Linked DNA regions of Stegostoma tigrinum. The main gene of each other region encodes a partner of the protein of the gene in region 2 in a complex. Links are inferred from orthologs where the notes say so. Each region holds a gene or a part of one and is shown on either strand. Other genes may lie near its edges.

Region 1 (10,931 bases), on a different chromosome or scaffold from region 2:
AAGTTCATGACCATTGATGAGCATCAATAAGTATATCCAAGACTGAGATTAACAGACTTCAGACCACTAAGGAAATCAAGTGATATGAAGATAAGGCTGCAATGTGCAGTTGATGGACAAGCTCAGCAATGATTTTATTCAACAGCAGAGGTTTGATAGTTCACACAGTTAATTGTATGTCACTTGTATTTAATTATGTGCAAAGGGAGAGCATTCCATGAGGGTTTGTTGGATTGCATATAAGGAGATATTGATAAAATAATCAGTCATGTGGTTGCGTTAGGCGTTATGTGCTTCTAGTGTAATACTCAGTGAATAAAAAAAAAGAGTAAAAACTGGCTTCCATATCATCCTTCCACAAGGGGTTGCAGAAATACAACACCCATAAAATATTCCTGCTCATACTGCTTATGTTCTTGAATTGAGTTGAGGTACAGATTTGCCACAACATAACTGAATGGCAGAGAAGTGCTGAAGGCTTGGATGGTCTATTGTGTTCTAATGCTATCCATCAATTTCCTACATCTAATGAGAAGGTAACTAGTCTGGTGAGGTGGTCTTGTAACACAGTAGTAGTATCCCTGCTTCCGAATCAAAGGCCTTGGATTCAAGTCTCAGTCCAGGATTTGAAGATCAAGAAAAGTGCACTCACAACACAACCAAAAAGGATACATTCCGCATCCACAAACAGCAGGCAGGAAAAGCTGGAGAAATTCCTTGTCAGTCATACAATGGAAAGATACTGGAGTTGTTACCATCATTTTCTAGCAAACCAAAAATTTATGTTGCCATGTCAGCACTGGATTTAGGAACCTCCTCCCTGCCCTACGCCTGGTGAAAGTTCTAACATAATGGGTCAGACCTGCTCTTGGGCAGGGAACTCAGAAAGAAGTCTAGACTCAATTGGAAAATTATCATATTTTACTTCCTATTAGTCAAGACAGTGATTTGGCAACAAATCCAACTTGATAATGGTAATTGTACAGCACTAACTTTGTAATTTTAGTGGTCAAGGTTATACTCCACAGAATCAAAGAGTTATTTCGGAGCAGAAGGAGGCCATTCAGCCATCGTGTCTGCATCAATACTCTGTGCATTTTTTTTCTTTGTGCCATTCTCTTGCTTCTTATGTGTAGCCCGGAACATTGGATGATTATTTAAATGGAAAATGTTCTCTTGAATGCCTCAATTCAATCTGCCTCCACCACACTTCCGGTCGTGCATTCCATATGCTAACCACTCACTGTGTGAAAAGGTTTTTCCCACTTCACATTTGTTTTTCTTGCAAAACACTTTAAAACTGTATCCTCTGGTTTTTGATCCATTTAACAGTGGGAAGCAGTTTCTCCTTACCCATTCTCTCTATATCACTCACAATTTTGAAAGCTTCTATCAACTCTCCACTTAGTCTTCTCTCCAAGGAAAACAGTCCCCACTTCTCCAAGCTTTTCGCTTGGCATATCCATAGAATTATATTCATAAACCTCTTCTGCACTGTCTCCAATGCATTCATACCCTTCCTCTGCTGTGGAACACAGAAATGCACATAATACTCCAGCTGACCTCTCACCAGAGTCTCTTGTCAGTTCATCATAACCCTACTGACCAACTAGACCCCCTGCCCTTGGTTCTCTATGCCCCTATTCACAAAACCCACAACAGTATATGCTTAATCTGTACCTACCCTGCCACCTTCAATAACTGATGTACATATAAACCCAGATAATAAAATGTGAGGCTGGATGAACACAGCAGGCCAAGCAGCATCTCAGGAGCACAAAAGCTCATATACAAGAGCACATATAAACCCAGATCTTTATGCTCCTGTATAACATTTAGAACAGTACCCTTTTTTCTGCATTTTTTTTACCAGAGTGTATTACTTCACACTTCTCCACATTGAGCTTATCCTGATATCAATCCACCCACTCCTCCAATATTAGTGTTGTTTTGGAATTCTACAATGTCCTCCTCACAGTTTACGATTCTACCAAATTTTGTGTCGTCTGCAAATGTTGAAATTACCCCTGTACACAAGATCTAAATCCTTTGTATATCAGAAAAAGAGAAACTCCCAGCACTGACCCCTGGGGAACTCCACTACAAAACTTCTTCCAGCCTGAAAAGTACCCACAATTAGTCTTTCTCCCCTATCTCCCAGACAATGTTGCGTCCATTTTGCTACTGTTCCTTTTATTCCATAACCTATAAATGTAGTCACAAGGCTTTCGTGCGGCATGGTATCCAATGCCCTTTAAAAGTCCACGTGCACCACATTAATACTGCGCCTATTACCTCTTCAAAAATCTTCAGCTAGTTCGAATCAATTTTCCTTGAACGAGCGCATGATGACTCTTCCCAAATAACTCAGTTTTGTTCCACGTGTCTATTAATTTGATGCCGAATAATTGCTACTAGAAGTCTTTCTCCCCACCACCGAAGTTAACCTGACTGGTCTAAATCACTCCAAGATATTCTGTAATCAAGTTGCGCAGAAATGATATGGCATAGGTCTGGAGCACGTCTCAAGCTGGGCTTGCTTCGCTCAGAGCTGGGGGATTCTGCAGAATCGACTCCAAATGGCAAGGTGGTAGTTTGTAACAATTGTGCTGAGACATAAGAAGCAGTTTGGTGGCTCAGCTAAGATATGCATAAAGTATTTCAGCTGTCTTTTAAAGTCGAGAAATATAGCAAGTTGAAGTTTTACAGCAGCGTTTGGTGCAAATTTGCGTTTGAGTCATGCACGGTGAAGCGAGGGTCAGGGAAGGGGAAATGTAATGATGAGTGTGACCCATCTGCAAGAGACCTGCCCTCTTTCGCACCGCACCTACTTCTTCAAGAGCACCACGTAGACACTGCGAACGGCGACAGGGGTTGCTAGCACCGTTCGATGGGAAATGGTGTTTGCACCAAATAATTTAAAAAGCATCATTGATTTTAATTCTCCCAAAACAGCCCGGACTCAAGAACGATATAGTGAATTTAATCGGAATCCTTAACTATTTTCTTTGCCTACTATTACAGTGAATACCATAACGCCATAGAGCCTGACATTCCTGCCTTTCTTCTTTGGGATCCAAAAAAACATGTTAACTAATTCATCCCATCTGCAACTGGAATAGTGTTGATGTAAGCGAGTTTAACGCATCCCAGATGTGGAGCTGTCTACTCGGTATCAGAAAGAGAAATCACTGAGCAGTTCGGGAGAATCTTTTCAATGTTCATATTTGGGTTGTTTTGGGTCAGGAATATAACTTCAACAGGAAAAAAATATATACGTTTCTCATCTTTTTGTTCAGATTTGATCGACTGAGGCGAACTAGTGATTCCATCTGGTTTGTATAAGTGCACCGAGCCCTCCCCAACTGTATTGAATTAAACATTCACCTCCGACTTATATAAACTAAAAATTGACCCTCCACCCACACCACCTGTAGAACCTTCTCCCTCAGTGGTCTCAATATAGAAAATACTGCTCCTCCGAACAATTCTTCCATCGTTACGTAAGGGAAGCTGGTAGAGAAGTCTCCTGAGGTCGAGCTCAGGGGCTTCAGGCTAATCACTGTGCGGGGAACTGTCAGTTCAGGCAAAGACAGAGAAAGGGGACCACTTCTAAACCCAGGATACAGCGATCCGTTGCGTTTTATGCCACTCGCCAAACGCAATTGAAGCACAAGCCCAGGTGGATGCAAGTCTCAAACGTGTTAATGTGCGCAATAAATCAAAGTGGAAGGTGAACACAGCAGTTGTGATGCTTTTAGTGTGACAACACAATTATTCGCAGGTATTATTACATTCAAAGTAGCACACCTTCTAAATACTGGGAAATCTCCTATCGCCCCACCCAACACTGTCTTGGAGTGCACCGTTCGTGGTAGGAAACGTGCAGCCCACAAGGAATTTTGCTCAACTGCTTCTTGATGATCTTTTCAGCAGCGCTACATGGTTACCACATACACCGCGGGCTTTGCAAAAGCGTTTTCAGACGTGTCACCAATTCACCCAACTATCACAGAGTGAGCTAAACGAATATATTAATACATCGCCCGTGACTTGAAACCCCTGCTTTGGTTCTGTCAAATCCTCCACGTTATGAGAAAAGGATTTCGTAACTGGGGGAAAATTTAGTGTGTTCGCTCTGGGAGTTCCCTTTAGCTGTTGGTTTGTTCTGGAACGAATTGTCACTTTATGTCGTTATTTTTTAAACCTCTAAAAATAAGAAAGTTGAACTGTTATCATTTTATGTGACTTACTGAAACATTGCTGCTTTTCATAAAAATTACAGTACACTACAGGTTTCGATCAAGCGTCACATCCCAAATTATTAAATCCTGGGAGCAGGATGATTCGGGGGCACGTTCATTTCGATGTCGTTTCCTTTGGGAAAGAAGCAACCACATACCCGTCTCTCTGCCACATCTCAACTTTCCAACTCTCCTCCCCAGCCCCCACACCAGGTTATCCTTACGAAAATAAGAGTGCTGAGGCATGAAAAAAAAATCGACATCCTCACAGGTGTTGTTTATAAAGTAACAATCAAATAGTTGCAAACAAAACAAAAACACAGAGCAGCCTAATTCGTTGTCATGCAATGCTAGCAAGGTGCAAATGTTTTAGCTGAAACCAATCGAGTTCCGCTCGGGGAATCATGCCACTGTTAAACCCCTCAGGTTTATGACCTTTCGGTTTTTATATTTCAATTCTAATGCTGCTGATTGAAAATTGCTATTTCAACAGCAAGTCCATGATTACAGAGTAATCTCTTTGTTAGATTCACACTAGGCGACGGGTGATTCCATAAGGGGAAATAAAATGCAGAAAAGTGATCACAACATTGACAATTTGACTTATTTCTGCGTTTAAATGTGTCTCATCTAAAATCCGGGAAACATTTGATTTGGATCTTTTCAAGTCTAGTTTCTTGGAGGTTTCCTCACCAATTACTCCCCAACTTTCGTGTTTTTCTGAAAAAAAACTGATGAGTTGGCGTATCAATAAAAGTGATTACGTGTATGTTGGTTAGGAAGAGCTAAGCCGTTCCTTCAGTTGAAAGTTTTCCAGCCCTTCTTTGACCCAGTCATGCTTCAACGTGTCTCTCTGCTCTGTAACAGCCTCTGAAACGAAGCCAATAAAAAAAAAAGTGCCTTTGAAAAATGATGTGCCCGTGTCTGAAGAAGAATAGGTTTTAGGAAAAGAATTATGGTTCATCAAATTAAATGGGTCTTGCGTCGGGGTTAGGGCGGGGGGGGGGGGGTGATGTATAGAGAAGGAGGCAGGGCATGGAGTGCAAGTATGAGTCCAACAGCCACATGGCGGTTCACACCAGCCATCCAGAATTCCCTCTTCCCACCCCGATTGGAGGAAGGCATCTACGTACATGTTAGTGGATGGTCAGAGACAATTGGATCCTGCCGCAGGCGGGGACTTTGCCGGTTTCCAACTGGAGGAGGAGATTTGTTTGGTGGCGGGGGGGGGTCACTGGTGGAGATGGGCGGCAACTATTCACACCTCCAAAGCCTGGCACACATAAAAGGGCAGGCGATCTGCAAACGGAACAGTAGGAAGTTTCTGCTGGGGCTCGGTGCTGAAGCTTGGAATTACACACCAGAACCATTGCATGTCCGGACGTTAAAGAAAGTTTCCCTTTTTTTACCCCAAAGAGTCTACATGTCTAATATTTAGACATGTTCAGCTTTGTGGATACGCGGACTTTGCTGTTGCTGGCAGCAACGTTAGTGGTGGGAAGATGTCAAGCGGACGATGACAGTAAGTGTTCCTTTCTCGTTTTCCTTCTGTTTCGTCCTGAAGAACTGTTTCGAAAAATCTCCCGTCTATCGCCCGCTTAAGAGGCGAACGCTACGATCGACCTAACGGGAGAGGGATGCACAACTTTGAATTCTGTTAAAACTTTGCAAAGAAAGCTCTAATGTGAAATTGACTTGCAGGATTGTCGATTGAAAAAATGTCAGGCAACATTTTCCTGATGTTAGCTTCAGACGGTAATGTTTGGAGCATTCCGAAAGCTTGTTGCGTTTTGTTCGAACTATGCAAACGATTTGAAATAGATTACCGCAACGATTTTCCTTTTATGGAATGGTTTTTCGATCTCTAAGGGATGGGTGCATTAAAAGAAACTACATTTGTGTATTACGTGGCTGTCAGACTGTCTAACTTCTCCGCCAGCCCACAAGAATTGCAGTATCCACCCCGTTTAAGAAAGGGAAACAGAACACAGACAATTGTTGGGACCATATTAGTTGGAGTGAAGGAGTCTCGACCAGACAATTGGTTGAAAGCAGCTGCCTTTGATAGTGGGTGTGTCACTTTGGAGCAGATCCTTTGTGGCGAATTTCGAATAAATTGGGTCCAAATGGAAAATAGTGTCAAACAGATGGAAAACAGAGCACAACGCGAATTAAAATACACTTAAAATATTATTAAATTGAATAAAATGCATAAAGCGGTAAAATCTGGGTTTGAGTTTTAGTGATTTTTGCCTAGTTCTGTTTAGTTTGCAGCCACAAATCGATTTTCAGACATAAGGTAGCTTTTAAAGAAAATCGAAATTGTTCCAATTCCGAAAATTAGCGTATTTAAAGTTCAAGCCAAGAAACGAAGTTGTTTGAGGGGAAAAAAATGTCCGGTGTTCGGAATAGAAGCAATCCAGATGTTTAGACATTGTTTTCAAAGCCAAGCAAGTTCTGAGTAGCAGTCCAGTGCTGTGGCTTAACAGCGCCATCTCTAGGCAACATGTTAAAATGGTAGCTATTGTAAACTGGCTTTTTTTCCCCAAGACAACCAGGATCTTCTAATTTAAAACAGACAAAACTGGCGGAAAAAGCAACTCAGCAGGGCTGGCAGCGTTTGTGGAGAGAGAAAGAGTTTAACGTTTTGAGTACGATATGACTCTTCGTCAGAAATCCACTTTAACTCTGATTTACTCCACCACCACATTAACAATTCTGCACGGGACGTGTTTTAAATGAAACTGCGTACCATTGACTAAAAAATGATTTGAGTCGGATGCACTTTTGTGCGGTTTACTGCAGTGCTAAATCTGAGGTGGAGCTTGAGCGCCATCTGTTGAATTTCTCGCCTGATAATCTTGGCTTGCGAGCTTGTGTCACTAAAGCAACGCCTTTAAACTAAAGACCAAAATACTTGGTGCATTGTTAAAACTTAAATGTCGAAAATTCTTGTATTCCATACAGGTCACAATGTCAAAAGTGCATGTTCTTTTTAAATTGAGGAGTAGTGTTATCAGTTCTATCTTAGGCTGTTTGGGATACAAAATAAATAGCTCAACATGAATCTGCATACAGTTTCTCGTCCCTTTGAAGTTTGTCACTTTTTCCCCCAAAGGCGTTCTTGCCTTTCTGCCCATTAGAGGGCGTTTGGTATCACCGCGGTTGATATATCCCGTTTGATTCTCAGATAGCGGACCTAGCTGCTACAAGGATGGAGAAACGTTCGAAAACAAGGATATCTGGAAACCCGAACCCTGCCTGATTTGCGTCTGCGACAATGGCCGGGTCCTTTGTGACGAAATAATCTGCGAGGAAACCATCGACTGCCCCAATGCCGAAGTGCGCGACGGAGAATGCTGCCCCGTCTGCCCCGAAAAAGATCGTGAGTGTTTGCTGTGGTCCCTAGTCAATTGTTCGAAGGCGCCTTTAAGTGCTCTCCGCCAGCCACCTGACAACTTATATCATCGCCTTACATTCCCAAACTCAATTATCAACAGCAATGTAGTTTAGGAAAAGGTAGCAATAGTTGCTGCGCGGCAGCAACTGGAAGTGGAATGAAGTATCCACTCGAATGGACAATTCTAAACATTGCTTTTTAAACCTAGTGACAAAATACACATTACGTTTGAAAGCTTTAGGTGAATTCACTTCAAAACCAGTAATGATTACATTATACTAGTCCGTCAGCATTTATGATTTGCAGGAAATGTTTTGCCATTTCATGGTGAAAGTGACAGTGAACGTTAAGGGGTTATTTAACACAAAAGTACCACAGCCACAATAAACAAACCGCTTTTAATTTTAATTTAATTGAGTGTCTTTGATTTTTTTAAAAACCCAGGTTATTGTCTTTTTCTGAATCATTTGATCTGATAGAGGTTTTCTTTAAACCAATTTAAGCATTATGGGTTTTAGCTATGACATCATTGAATGATTCAATGAACATGTCACAGGCCCAAGTAGAGCAAAACCGGAAGGAGTCTTAGAAGTAATTTCCTTTTGCACTCTCCTCCCTAAAAAACATATGTGCAGTAAATAAACTATAAGCTGTTTATGAGCAATAATTACAATGCTTTCCGTTGTTTTTGAAAATGTGTTTATAAATTAAGCTCTTTTTATTTTGTTACAGCAGAAGGTGGAGAAACAGTAAGTACATCATATTCACTTAGACAATACAACAATGAAATATTTACATGGTTACTTGTAACACATATCCACACACTGACTTATTAATTTTTCTTTCCAGTATCCCTCTGGCCCTGGTATTCAGGTAAATAGAAATGCTTTTTATTTCCAGGTTAACAAAAGATATTTTAAACACACAGAAGTTGAACATTTATTAACTTTACCTTTATTTGCAATTTTAATTGTAATACAAATACAATTTTTTCAGGGACCTCAAGGCCCCAAGGGAGAACCTGGCCCTAAGGGTGATAGAGTAAGTTGATATTTTTAAATCATCTTATTGAAACAAATGTGATAATATTGTTTCCAAACTATTAAGTCCTTGATTGTAACATAGCCTTTTTTGAAAGAAGTTAAAAAAAGTCCCAAAGGCTATCTGAAAGAAAAAAGAGCAGATGTTCATAGACACCATATGTAAAGTCTAATAAGGTTTAAAACATAGAGGGCTTGAAGTTTAATGTATTACAATCATCTACCATTAATTGCTAGTATTATCCTTTTGGGGTTGCATTAAAATGAACACTCATCCTTTGCCAACGATGGAGAGGCTTCAGGGACAGGAAATGATGGTAAACAGGAAGTGACAACTGAAGAGATGACAATAGCTAAGAGTGTTGCTGAGGCTACAATTGCAACTAAAGTGAAATGATATACATAATATTTTCTTTTGTAACAATGAACATAATATTTTGCATCTTTAGGGACTTCCAGGTTTACCCGGAAGAGATGGAATCCCAGGACCTCCAGGTCGTGATGGCCCCCCTGGTCCACCTGGTCAACCTGGAACATCTGGCCTTGGCGGAGTAAGTGACCTTCAACACTTAGCTGATGAAATACATAGTGCAATGGTTCTAAATTATTTTCAATATATTTCACAGGCTGCAGACATCTAAAATCACGTTGCTTTCTTCCAGAACTTCCTCCCTCAGATGGCTGTTGGCTTCAGTGAGAAAACATCTGGCGGTATTCCAATGCCTGGACCTATGGTATGAGCCCATCTTTCCCTTTTCCTCATAATATATATAAGGTGCAACAATGGCCCTGCATAGGTTATAAAATTTTATATCAGTTTGACATTTCTGAATTAAGTAAGTTATGTGTAATCACCTGAGAATGAAGAGACGTAGAATTAACTTTGAACTAGCGTACTGAAAGTGTTTAACATTGAATGATTTTGAGTATTAAAACTATTAATTTAAGATCAAGGAAGAGTAGAGTCAATTGCTTGAGGACAGAGATTAGTAGATGCATGTGTTTTTAACTTTTGTTTTGACACATTGTTATAATTTTATTCCAATTTAAGGTTAAAAAAACAAGTTACAAAGATCCATAAAACTGTGTACCGTTTTATTAACATGTTGTTTATGTTCTAGGGTCCAATGGGTCCCAGAGGACCTCCCGGCCCACCTGGTGCACCTGTAAGTACACAATTGCTTTTATTTTCCAAAAATGTCAGTTGATTTTTGACTATTGAAGTAAAGGTTAAAAGTTAATGGAGTTAATACTTACCTAAAATGTTAATCAATTTTCAATTAAAAAGGAGAGCAGAACTTAAACTGGAAAGCAATATAGATTCTGAGTACGCTGAAAGACCATAATTATTAAAGTGTGGTTTACGTTGTTTAATCATTAGGGTCCTCAAGGATTCCAGGGACACCAAGGAGAACCTGGTGAACCAGGTGCACCTGTAAGTACTCAGTAAACTAAAAGCCACTCTCTTCTTTAAGAGCACCATATTGATTCACGTTAAATTTGTTTTAGAAACATATAATTTCTACTTTATAAAATAATTCCCCTCAAGATGGGATTCTTTTTACCACTTGATGCTTTGTGAAGATAGTTTACAAATGTACAGATGCTGGGAATGAAAGCCTTATGACACCAGCTGACAGTTTCACTAACAGATTGCAAGCCTAGCCATTTAGAGCAGTGAACTGCAAGACACCAGTTCCTTGTGTTTACCATGTCTTAATATTTTCACTTTACAATTTCAACTCTTCAGGGTCCAATGGGTCCACGTGGTCCTCCTGGCGTTCCTGGAAAGAATGGTGATGATGTAAGTAGCACCAAACGGTCTATAAATGTACTTAGTAAAAAAAAATAAAACAGTTAGGTACTTGCTTTCTGCTTTTGGACATAGTTACATGATACATTCAGCTTTAATTTCACAAATCTACTTTTGACTATAGAATCCCTTCACCTCTGCTAAACTGATTTTATGGCGGAGCTATGTGTGAAAATTAATAGCATAAATTTTAAAACCCAGTCCTTGAAATGTACTCGCTAGAATTATATTCATAAATGTCCATATTAGCTAGGTACATGTTTGATCCTTATTCAAGATAATTGAAAGTTTACAAATGGCTGACCTTTCTCTTTTCCTCCATAGGGTGAAAATGGCAAGCCTGGTCGCCCTGGTGATCGTGGTGCCCCTGGTCCTCAGGTAAAGCATTTTCCATCTAACCCTTCAGGATATTACAACATGCCTGCAATCTATTA
Region 2 (10,592 bases):
CATCCATCTGTCAAGTCCCCTAAGAATCTTGCATGTCACCTCTCATTCTCCCGATGATCACAGGCCCAATCTATTGAGCCTCTCCTTCATAAGACAGTCTGGTATCAGCCTAGTGAATCTTCTCTGGACTGCCTCCAATGCCAGTAATATCTTTCCTCCGATAAGGGGCCTGTTCATTAGTACTCCAGAGATGATCTAACTAAGGCTTTGTACAGTTTTCGCAAAACCCCCCTACTTTTTTATACTCCATTCCCTTTGAAGTAAATGCCAACATTTCATTTGCCCTGCATATTACCCGATCAACTTAGTTTTTCATGATTTGTGCACAAGGATTCACAAATGCCTCTGTGCTACAGATTTTGCAGTATATTTCCATTTAAACAACATTCAACTCCTCCATTTTCCTGCCAAAGTGCATAACCTCACATTTTCCAACATTATATACCATCTGCCAAGTATTTGGCGCCTCACTTAATCTGTCCATGTTCCTCTGTAGACTCTTTGTGTCATTTCCCACTTTCCTTGTCACTCATTTTTGTCTCATCCGCAAACCTGGCATCAGTACAATCCCTTCCATCATTAACATTATATGTAAATAATTGTGGCCCCAGCACCGATCCCTGGGGCACTCCACCAATTATGGGTTACCCCCCTAAAAATGACCTCTTTATTGCAACTCTGTCTTCTATTAGTTAGCGGATCCTCTATCCATGCCAATATACTGCCTCCAACTCCACGGTTCCTTACCTCATGAAGTTAACTTAAATGTAGTACTTTACCGAACAACTTTTGGAAATCTAAATATTTTACATCCACTGCTTTCCTTTATCCATCCTGCTTTGAGTAACAGATTCTGATGATTTTGCAGGCGTGACTTCCCCTTCATGAAGTCACGCTAACTCTGCTGTGCATTTCTAAATGCGGTGCCTTTGCATTCTTTATGATGGGTTCTAATACATTTTTTCCTCAGACCAGAAACGTTAAGCTAAATGGCCTATCGCTGACAGAAACCAAAATAACTGTGGAAGTTGTAAATCAGAAACAAAAACTGAAATTGCTGGAAAAGCTCAGCAGATCTGGCAGCATCTGTGAAGAGGAATCACAGTTAACGCTTCGGGACGAGTGACCCTTCCTCAGAACAGCCCTCTAATTGCCTGCTTATTTGTCTCCTACCTTTTTGAGTAAGGGTGTTACGTTGGCTGTTTTCCAGTCTTTCAGTATTTTTCCACAATCTAACAATTTTTCAAACATTACTCCCTGTGAAAAGGACAAACTCTGTAGACTTCTGAAGACGGGTCTAGACCCGAAACATCAGCTTTCCTGCTCCTCTGATGCTGCTTGGCTTGCTGTGTTCATCCAGCTCCACACCTTGTTATCTCACCGTCTCTGCAGTTACCTTCTTTGACATCCAGCACGTATCCCATCAGAATCAAGAGACTTATTGCCTTTGGGCCCATAAGATTCCCCAGTACATTTTTCCTCCAGTGATAGTCATTTAATCCACAATCTCCACCCACTTCCCCAGTTCCTTCATTATTTAGCATTTTTTGGAATGCTATTAGTGTCATCCACCATCCCCATGTTATAAGGAGGATCTTGAGGCACTAGAGAAAATGCAAACAAGTGCTTCTAGAACTGCTGTGGGGTGGCACGTTGGTTCAGTGGTTAGCATTGCTGCCTCACAGCGCCAGGGACCCGGGTTTGGTCCCAGCCTCGGGCAACTGTCTGTGTGGCGTTTGCACATTCTCCCCGTTTCTGCGCGAGTTTCCTTTGGGTGCTCCGTTTTCCTCCCGCAGTCACAAAGATCTGCAGGTTAGGTGGATTGGCCATGCTAAATTGCCCCATAGTGTCCAGGGATGTGCAGGCAAGGCGGATTAGTAATGGGAAATGCAGGGTTACAGTGGTAGGGCTGGGTCTGGGAGGCACGCACTCCAGAGGGTTGGTGTGGACTCGATGGGCCAAACAGCCTGATTCTAACCAACAAGCCATATGCCTCAGGGAAGGTTTCGAGGCTGGAGCTGGTCTCCTGTAGAGGAGGGGTGGCCTGTCTGTGAATAGGAATGATATGGGAAAGACATTGTCCTTTGTGGTAAGTTTAAATATAGGGCTCACAAATATGAGTCATTAATTAGACAGTGATTCATTCAGAGAACATGGGAACCATGGCCATAGGGACTGGCTGAGGTGAACAGCATTTTTGGGGTACACTGATGTATTTTGAAGCAGTTGTTACGATACACCTCTGGAACAGGCAGGATCTGAAACAAAAACAGAAATTGCTGGAAAAGCTGAGGTCTGGCCGCACCTGCAGAGGGAAATCAGAGTTAACATTTAGGTTGAGTGATCTTTCCTTGGGATCTGAACCTGGGTCCCCTAGTCCTGAGGAAGGGACACCATTACTGTGCCAAAGTAGAGCACACATCACATTTAGGAAGAGAGACAGAAGACTTAGAATCGTGGCGTCATTGAGTCATACAGCACGGAAACAGACCCTTCGGCCCAACAAATCCACGCTGACCACAATCCCAAACTAAACTAGTCCCACCTGTCTGCTCTGGCCCACTTTCCTCCAAACCTTTCCTATTCACGTTCTAATCCAAATGCCTTTTAAACATTGTAACCGTGCCCACATCCACCACTTCCTCAGGAAGTTCATTCCACACGCGAACCACCCTCTGTGTAAAAAAATTGCCCCTCAAAAGTCTTTTTTAAATCTCTCTCCTGTCACCTTAAAAATGTGGCCCCTAATCCTGAAATCCCCCATCCTAGGGAAAACACAACTACCATTGACTCTCCCTGTGTCCCTCATTGCTTTATAAACGTTCATAAGGTCGCCTCTCAACCCCCTATGCTCCAGTGAGAGGGAGATTTTATAGAATGTTAAAAGAACAGCTGCGGTTGAATGGTGTCTAAGCACTAGGTGCCGGCCTCTGCACTTTTTGGCGATGTAGCAGTGTGGTTTGGTAGTCTGTCTTTGAGCGAAATACCGATGGTGCTGAGTTATGGTCATATTACTGAGGAGAGTGCGAGATTAAAACAGGGTTAACCTGGGCTTCCAAGGGTCCGGTTGCCCTCTCTGAGTGACTCAGCGACCGATTAAAGCATGCCTTTGCTAAGTTATGTTAAAATGGGTGTTAAGAGAGACGGGATGAGTTTCTTGTCACGAAATGCACATTGATAAGCACGGATCCCCTTTTGTTCCGGGGTTGGGGTGGTGACTGTGGATAGTTAGTTTTGCAGAGAATGGTGTCTTGTGGGCCGGAGGGCAGCCTCACTGAATATGTCCAAGCCCGACAGGGAATCACCACTCAATATACTTCGGCAATCCGTCTTGTCCCCGGCTTAATGGTTAAACAAGGCGGCGTCCCCCTTCTTATCTGGAGTTCCTGGCCGACATACTGAAGCACTGACGCTTCGTCCTTCAAACATGAATCATACACTTAACACAAAATCAGAAGCTCTGCTCCCCGAGGCATTTTACTTAATTTGAAGTGCAGGAACCTTACATTGTTTTTGGACGTCCCTTCCCAAATTCAAACGTAGAATAATAATGAAATTCGACAGAGCCTCACTTAAAGAGGCGTTTGATTTTAAGGGTTTGGTTTACTTTTTTTCTTAGCAGCTCTTGCCGTCTCAACTTTTTTTTCAAAAAATTATTTCCCCCGAGTCTCTCTCAGCCTTCACATTAGGAGCAACCCCGAACTCTTCCACAGATGCTGGCCAAACCTGCTGAGTTTCTCCAGCAAGGTTTTGTTTCAGATTCTCCAGCGTGCTCAGTCCTTTTGTGACTGTTGTGGCATCGTCCTATCATTGGTAACACACTGATTTTTGTCTTTAAGGAAAAAGGTACACTTTGCACATTCAGTTCGTAGGAAATCTCACTGAAATCGATTTAACTCTTTGTTCCTCCCTGCACAGACCTAGTGAGTACCCCGGCAGTTTCCGGTTTCATTACAGATACCCCAAACATGCTGCTGTAAATTTGCACCTTTCGGGAGGATGCGAGTACTTTACAAACAATGGAACACTTTCGAGGTGGAAATTTGTAACATTTCATTTTCTACCAGGTTGCGCCTGGGTCAGTGCAGAGTTTAGAGCGGGTGAGAGACCCAGTGTAAGAGGGAGCATTGTGAGAAGACAAGTCTTGGAACGGCAAGAAAAAAGAATGCAGGAAATAGGGAAGGCTACAAGGGAAACCGACATGTTTCAAATTGGGATGACCTTTAAGGGTCAGGTCATCAATCTTATACATTGACTGTATCTCTCCACAGATGCTGCCTGACCTTCTGCGTTCTGCTTCGCAATTTTTTGTTTGCTTTTTCCTACATCGTCCCTGGTATTTCACCTTTGTTTTCGAAAAAAAACAAAAAAAATTCTCCCGCGTTGTGCGCATCGAAAGCAACTGCAAAAGCGACGTTTCTAACGCCCACGTTTTAAATAAAATAAACACTGCAAACGCTCGGAGAACGAGTTCAAAGATGCAATGTCTGGCTCACACTTCCTAGGAGCGAGTGTTTATTGCACATACGCGGCGGGAAGGTTGTCATTCGGTTATGATTGAATACCAAGTCTGTCTCATTTTATGTCTGTATACCCCCTCCCCCCAACCTCCTTTGTCTCCGAATCCCCACCTCCACCTTTTTTTACAGAAGACCAAGTTCATGTAAAATTCACACAAGGGTTTTTTTTAAAAATCAGCTTAGCAAGTCATATTTGGACAAATCTGTACCTCGTTTTTGGATTCAGTGAAGACAATGTTTGCAGATCTCGTGGAGGATTTGTGTGTGTGTGTGTGTGTGTGTGTGTCGGGGGATGGGGGGAGGGCGGATGACTTTAGAGATGTTTAGGTATTAACTCAAACATCCCTTCGTCTTGTTGAGGACTTAATTCGCCGCCTCGATCACCCATTGACATTCAGACTCTCACTTCGCCTCAGATTTGCTGCCCCTCCAGCTGGTAAAAGGAGCCTAGATTAGGTGTACCTTTCTTTCCAAAATAAACAAATTAAAAGACTTCCAATCCTTCCCAGCAGTGATTTGTCAAGTTACAGTTCAGTAAAATCACTCACAAGTAAACAGCTCGCAAGACAGAAGCTGAGCTCAGTTTAATCATGTGTTTTCCTTTGTTGCAAATGTACAGAGTATTTCAGTCTCAATTTCCCGTTTTTAAAGACGAGCGGTGACTCACTTTACAGAAAGACTACCGTGCCTTATGAGGGATGTCTGTTGTCTCATGCAGGCTGCCTCAGGGATGCAATGCCCCTTTAAGAGAGATGCCTGGTGTCTGATAAGTGTCTGAACTGGCTGTTTTTCACCCAAAGTCCTCAGTGATGTCAGAGGCAGACTTGTAAATATTATTGATGTAGCTTAAGTGAGACCCCTCCCCTTCCACAAACTTCCAAAGGTCCACCCATCCTGTCCGGGGGCTGTACAACGTTATAAAGAGGGCTGCAGAAGCAGGCACTCGCTCGCTCACTCACTGGCCAAAGGTGTGCTGAGAGGTTCTGTCTCCCTTTGGTCTGGTTTCTTCTGTCCTTGTCCCTTCCCTCCCCCCCCCACCCCCACGCCAAATTCTTTCTGGACCAGTCCCTCCACCCCCTCTCCTTTTCAACACGGTGGGGTAATTGTCAGGCATCTGGCTGTCTTCGGCGAGCTGTGAAAGGGCGAGGGGGAGCTGGTGCCTGGAAGATGCACCTCCCCATGCTCGGGGTCTTGTTCCTGGCCGTTTGTCTGAGTGCAGCCAGCGGTCAAGCAGGCAAAAAGAGAAGGCAAAGTCCGTACGATGCAAATACCCAGAATCAGAGTAAGTCTTCCAGAGGAAGAGAATCTTGTTGAAACTTTTAACATGCATTTTTCCCCTTACAGAATGTGTTCAAACTCTTTCTAGACCTGTGCTTTAGAACGTTCTGCCGGCACGTTGCTTCTGGTTCTGTCCTTTAATGACTAAATGATGTCCAGATGCTGATTCCGAGACTTAAACCAGGGGTGCATCGAGTTTTGCCGATGGAGCGAATGCAAATTTCGTGATCTCGTCGATAGTTTGGCCGTGTGGTTTATCAAAATAGCCTTCGAAAGAGCTAGTACAGGCAGTAGGGGCGGAATGTCTCCTGTGGTTCAATACTGTGTGTACATGAGGGCATATAATACATTCTGACCCCTTTCTGCCCTTTCTCTCTTTACGCCAACCACATTTTGAAGTTTCCATTGCAGATTTTAAGAACAAGGGCATGAAACGACCTTTCTCCCTCTCTCCACAGATGCCTCCTAACTACTGGGTGGTTCCACTATGCTTTCTCCTGCATCTGAGGCGTGTTGTGTTTTTTTAAAATGCTGCATCTTTCCAAAATTTGGGGTGTGAGGAAGAAAGACAAATGGTTTCTTTGTAATCTTCACCCCGCTAATCTGGGGAAGATGTGATTTTAAAAAAATACATTGTGTGAACCTTTTGATGCAAACATCCAAGGGGTCAGAATGCTGACTATTTAGTGGCTGTTCAGCAACAGAGGCCATCACATCCTGTCCCACTGCACTCACTGAAGGAGGGGAGTTCCGGGGTGGGGGAGGGGAACAGGATTAGGGAGTTTAGAAACCACTCCTATATGTTTCCTAAATTGGGGTGATTGTAGTTTATATCACTTTTTGCTTGAGGAGACTCCACAGGTTAAAACCAGCATCCATCCCGAGCTGCTTTTACATTAGAGTTTAATGTGTAAGCTGAGAATGTACCGAAGAATTCACCTACAGACCCATTCAGATGGGTGGATGGTCTGGTGGGATTTTTGTTGTGGGTTAGTTAGAAAGAGCTTTACCAGCTATTTTGAAGTTGTAGTTTAACTTAAGTAATTCCGAACGAGGTACAACCGCTTGGCTAGAAACCTGGAAGGGGTTCCTTGGAATTGTTGAATATTTAAGGCATAGAAAGAGACCATTTGATGCTTCGTGTCTAGATTGACACTTCATGAGAATGTCATTTAAATATGCCACTCTTGCCCCCTTTACCCTGTATTCTCTCACCTGCCTTCAGATAATGAGGTGGCTCAGTGGTTGGCGCTGCTGCCTCACAAAACCAGTGTGTTGGGTTCAGTTCTCACCCTTATGTGACTGTGTAGAGTTTACACATTTTCTCTGTGTCTGTGTAGGTTTCATCAGGGTGCTGTGGCTTCCTCCCACAGTCCAAAGATGTCCGAGTCAGGGGGAATGGCCTTGGGACATTGTCCAGGGCTGGACAGGCTAGGCAGATTAGCCATGGGAAATTCGGGTTTACAGAAATGGGATGGATCTGGGTGCGGTGCTCTTTTGAGGATTGGTGTGGACTTATTGGGCCAAATGGCCAGTCTCCACACAGTAGGGGATTCTGTGATAATGATCTAATGACCCACTTGAAAACCACAATTGAATCTGTCCCCAGTGCATTCTCAGGGGGAGCATTCCAGATCCTATTCACTTGCTGTGTGAAGGAAATTTCCCTTGCGCCGCCGTTGCTCCTTTTGCCATCCATCTAAAATCCGTGTCCTCTGATTCTCGATCTTTCAAACAGTCCCTGTCTGCTCGGTCCATATCCCTTGGGATTTTGAACACCTCGAACAGATCTTCCCTTAGCCTGCTCCAAGACTCCCAAGATGTTTGATCTCAGTGTCTCCATGTAACTGAAAGACTCTTTTTCTTTGAAACCATTTTTGTGAATCTTTTGCATTCTCTCTCATGCCTACGTGCTCATCAGGTCTGTCGGTATTTGTGAGGGGAAATAATATGATTTAACTCTAACACATTTTCCTTAAAATCAAACTGATTTTACAGTCTGGTTCTTTGATGGTTGCATCCTTTATAAGGAAAGAGTGCGAGTTGAAGCTGCATGTCAAGGTCCTGTTTGACGTGGGACTGAACGATGTAATCCTAATGGAAACTGGAAGATGCTTATTTATCAGAGCTGATGAGCTTATGCAAAAGCACAGCAGTCGAAGATACTGAAAATCTGAAGTAAAAGCAGATGATAGGAAAGGAATGGCTCCCATGGAGAGAGAAACAAGAGTTCGGGGTGAACTCCCCACAGCCATTGAGCCTCGTAATCTCAAGCCAGTGAAAATCATAATTCAGCTTGTGAGTGGCTGCATTTGGCAAGCAGTTGAGTTTTACTGGGATAGTAGGAACTGCCAATGCTGGAGAATCTGAGATAGCAAGGTGTAGAGCTGGATGAACGCCAGCAGGCCAAGCAGCATCAGAGGAGTAGGAAAGCTGATGTTTTGGGTCGAGATCCTTCTTCATAAAATTTTGCATGAGAGGAACAGGAAGGCTGGTGTTTTGGGTCGAGACCCTTCACGTCAGTTTTCCTGCTGCATGGCCTGCTGTGTTCATCCAGCTCTACACCTTGTTATCTGAGTTATACTGGGCCACTTTCTTGGGGTCGCTTTACTGCCTGCACTTTCTCGGCGCCTTTCTTGCTCTCAGAAGGTGAGTAAGTGCTCAGCAGGAGATCCGAGGGCCAAGAGGTGCATCTGCTGGGTTTACTTTGTGGAGACAAACAGGGCGATGCCACATCCTGTAAAATTAAGCTGCGTCATGCCAGTGAATGGGCTTGTGACTAATGTAATTGCCCCTGGGTCCTGAGTATTTCTTTGTTGGGAAAATGCAGCCTGTTATTTAAGAGTTAATGACCCTTCCCCAGAATTGATGACGAGCCTCTGAAATACCTATGATTAACTCTTGCTCTCTCTCTCTCTCTCCCCCTCCCCCTCCCCCCTCCCTTTCTCTCCCCCTCTCTCCCTCTCAAGATGACTTAGTGTTCCATGAGTTGAGGGTTCAGATTTGAGACATCTTTCCATCCACAGATGCTGAGTGATATTAGTCTTGCAATGCATCTAGTCTTTTGGGAACTATTTAATTGATGTGTGTGTGCTTTCTCTGTCTCTCCTGTTCAGATTATTGTTTAGACAATGGAAAGGTTTACCATGTTAACCAGCAATGGGAGCGTACATACATGGGCCGTGTGATGATCTGTACCTGTTATGGGGCAGGGCGAGGTTGGAATTGTGAATCGAAGCCGGATGGTAAGTTAACAGTTAAGGAGCCAGTGGCGCTGCATTCTTAATAATTAAACTTTGCATCTAGCACCATCTCCAAACTGTACACAGTCCCTATCCAGAGATCGAAAAGTAGGTGTTTTATAACGAGGCTATCAGCATGTTAACTAATGTGTATTTCGGTATCGGCGAACTAACCCAGTGTGTTACAGCATTGATATATTAACCCAGTATGTGACAGTGTCAGCATATTAACCCAGTGTGTTACAGCATCAGCATATTAACCCACTGTATTACAGCACTAGCAAAGTGACCCAGTATGTTACTATATCAGCATATTAACCCAGCGCTTTACAGCAGCCTCAATGTGTTGTTCCACGTATATCAGCACCAGTGCTGTCTAATCATATTGCAGTCAAGTGCATTGCAATAGAAGTGAAGGGTCTCAGTGTGTTTTAGCATTACTGTACTCTTATCGATGTTAGGTGATAATCCATCACATCACCAACGGTGCTCCACCTCCTAAAATACAGTAGTGACTGCACCTCATTGGCTGTCAAGCACGGCGAAACCTTCTGGAATTGTGAAAGGTGCAAGCGCTTTCATTTTTGATTTCTGCATTCTGTGCCCTCGCACACGAAGAGGCCAGGTCTTGTGTATCTCCCTTCAGCGCAGCCTGATTGCTGGATGTCAAACAGGACTTCCGTAGGTGGCACTCAGAGGCCAGGCTCACCAGTTGAGACTGGCGTTATACCCCTCAGGAGTGCAGTCAGAGGTGGGCTGGGGCTCAGCGGATAAGACAGTCATTTCAAAACTGAAAGAATCTCCCTCCTGAGCCTTGACATGTGTTTCGATTCATTTGTGCAGTCGAGGAGATGTGCTACGACCAGTACACTGGGACCAGGCAACGTGTCGGTGACACCTGGGAACGCCCAAAGGATGGCATGATCTGGGACTGTACTTGTATTGGAGCTGGCAGAGGGAGGATCAGCTGTACCATTGCAAGTAAGGAGGAGGGGTGCAGGGCATTGTGGGCAATCAAGCGAATGGGGCTGAGTGGCCAGAGAGTGCACCTATGCTGAGCTCCTGCTAATCAAAACTCCTCTTAAATAGTTATTCATCTCAGTGCTTTTGGTGCTCTGATCTCTATTCCAGTGCCCTGTGGAGTTTTTGCTTTGTTTTCTGTCTTGTTACCAGCATGGTGAAGGGATATCTGTTCCAGAAAGGGGAAATGTGCTGCAGCCTGCCCTCTCTAAGGCATGACGGGCGCTGTTCAACTCTGATCTTTCAGAGGATCGGACACAAGTCCTTGCCCAATTATGGAAGTTTTCATCTGAGTGTTTGTTTACTCTGAGCCCCTTCCTGTTGCAAATCCCAGTCCTGTTCCTGATTAGATAAACTCATTCCTTTCTCCTCTTGTCCACACTGCTCCCTTCTGTCCTTTTACAAATCCCATCCTCCTTCAGAAACAACATCTATTCTAGATGCCCCCTCCCATCCTGGGCTCTTACAACCTCAATTTCCTGGACTTCTCCTTACAACTCCCCAATTCCTCTGGATTACTCCCCCACCCCAT

The links. Proteins that work in one complex are often made in the same cells at the same time.
Region 1: the proteins of fibronectin-like (region 2) and collagen alpha-1(I) chain-like are in contact, whole or in part, in a crystal structure (PDB 3GXE), measured with the Homo sapiens proteins. The link is inferred for Stegostoma tigrinum from reciprocal best matches to the Homo sapiens genes FN1 and COL1A1. Residues at the interface, in NP_997647.2 of Homo sapiens: Asp516, Gln517, Lys533, His535, Glu537, His539, Leu541, Gly549, Arg550, Gly551, Arg552, Trp553, Lys554, Cys555, Pro557, Gln560, Phe569; in NP_000079.2 of Homo sapiens: Leu261, Pro262, Gly263, Met264, Lys265, Gly266, His267, Arg268.

The regions. Positions count from the first base shown.
Region 1 is NC_081384.1:21,096,954-21,107,884, forward strand, and holds the start of collagen alpha-1(I) chain-like, read left to right. Parts: upstream 1-5,544; 5' UTR 5,545-5,684; coding exon 5,685-5,766; intron 5,767-7,434; coding exon 7,435-7,629; intron 7,630-8,376; coding exon 8,377-8,393; intron 8,394-8,493; coding exon 8,494-8,517; intron 8,518-8,640; coding exon 8,641-8,685; intron 8,686-9,133; coding exon 9,134-9,235; intron 9,236-9,346; coding exon 9,347-9,418; intron 9,419-9,805; coding exon 9,806-9,850; intron 9,851-10,065; coding exon 10,066-10,119; intron 10,120-10,434; coding exon 10,435-10,488; intron 10,489-10,821; coding exon 10,822-10,875; intron 10,876-10,931. UniProt on the Homo sapiens protein: Type I collagen is a member of group I collagen (fibrillar forming collagen).
Region 2 is NC_081360.1:11,862,368-11,872,959, reverse strand, and holds the start of fibronectin-like, read left to right. Parts: upstream 1-5,462; 5' UTR 5,463-5,687; coding exon 5,688-5,802; intron 5,803-8,914; coding exon 8,915-9,043; intron 9,044-9,883; coding exon 9,884-10,021; intron 10,022-10,592. UniProt on the Homo sapiens protein: Fibronectins bind cell surfaces and various compounds including collagen, fibrin, heparin, DNA, and actin. Fibronectins are involved in cell adhesion, cell motility, opsonization, wound healing, and maintenance of cell shape.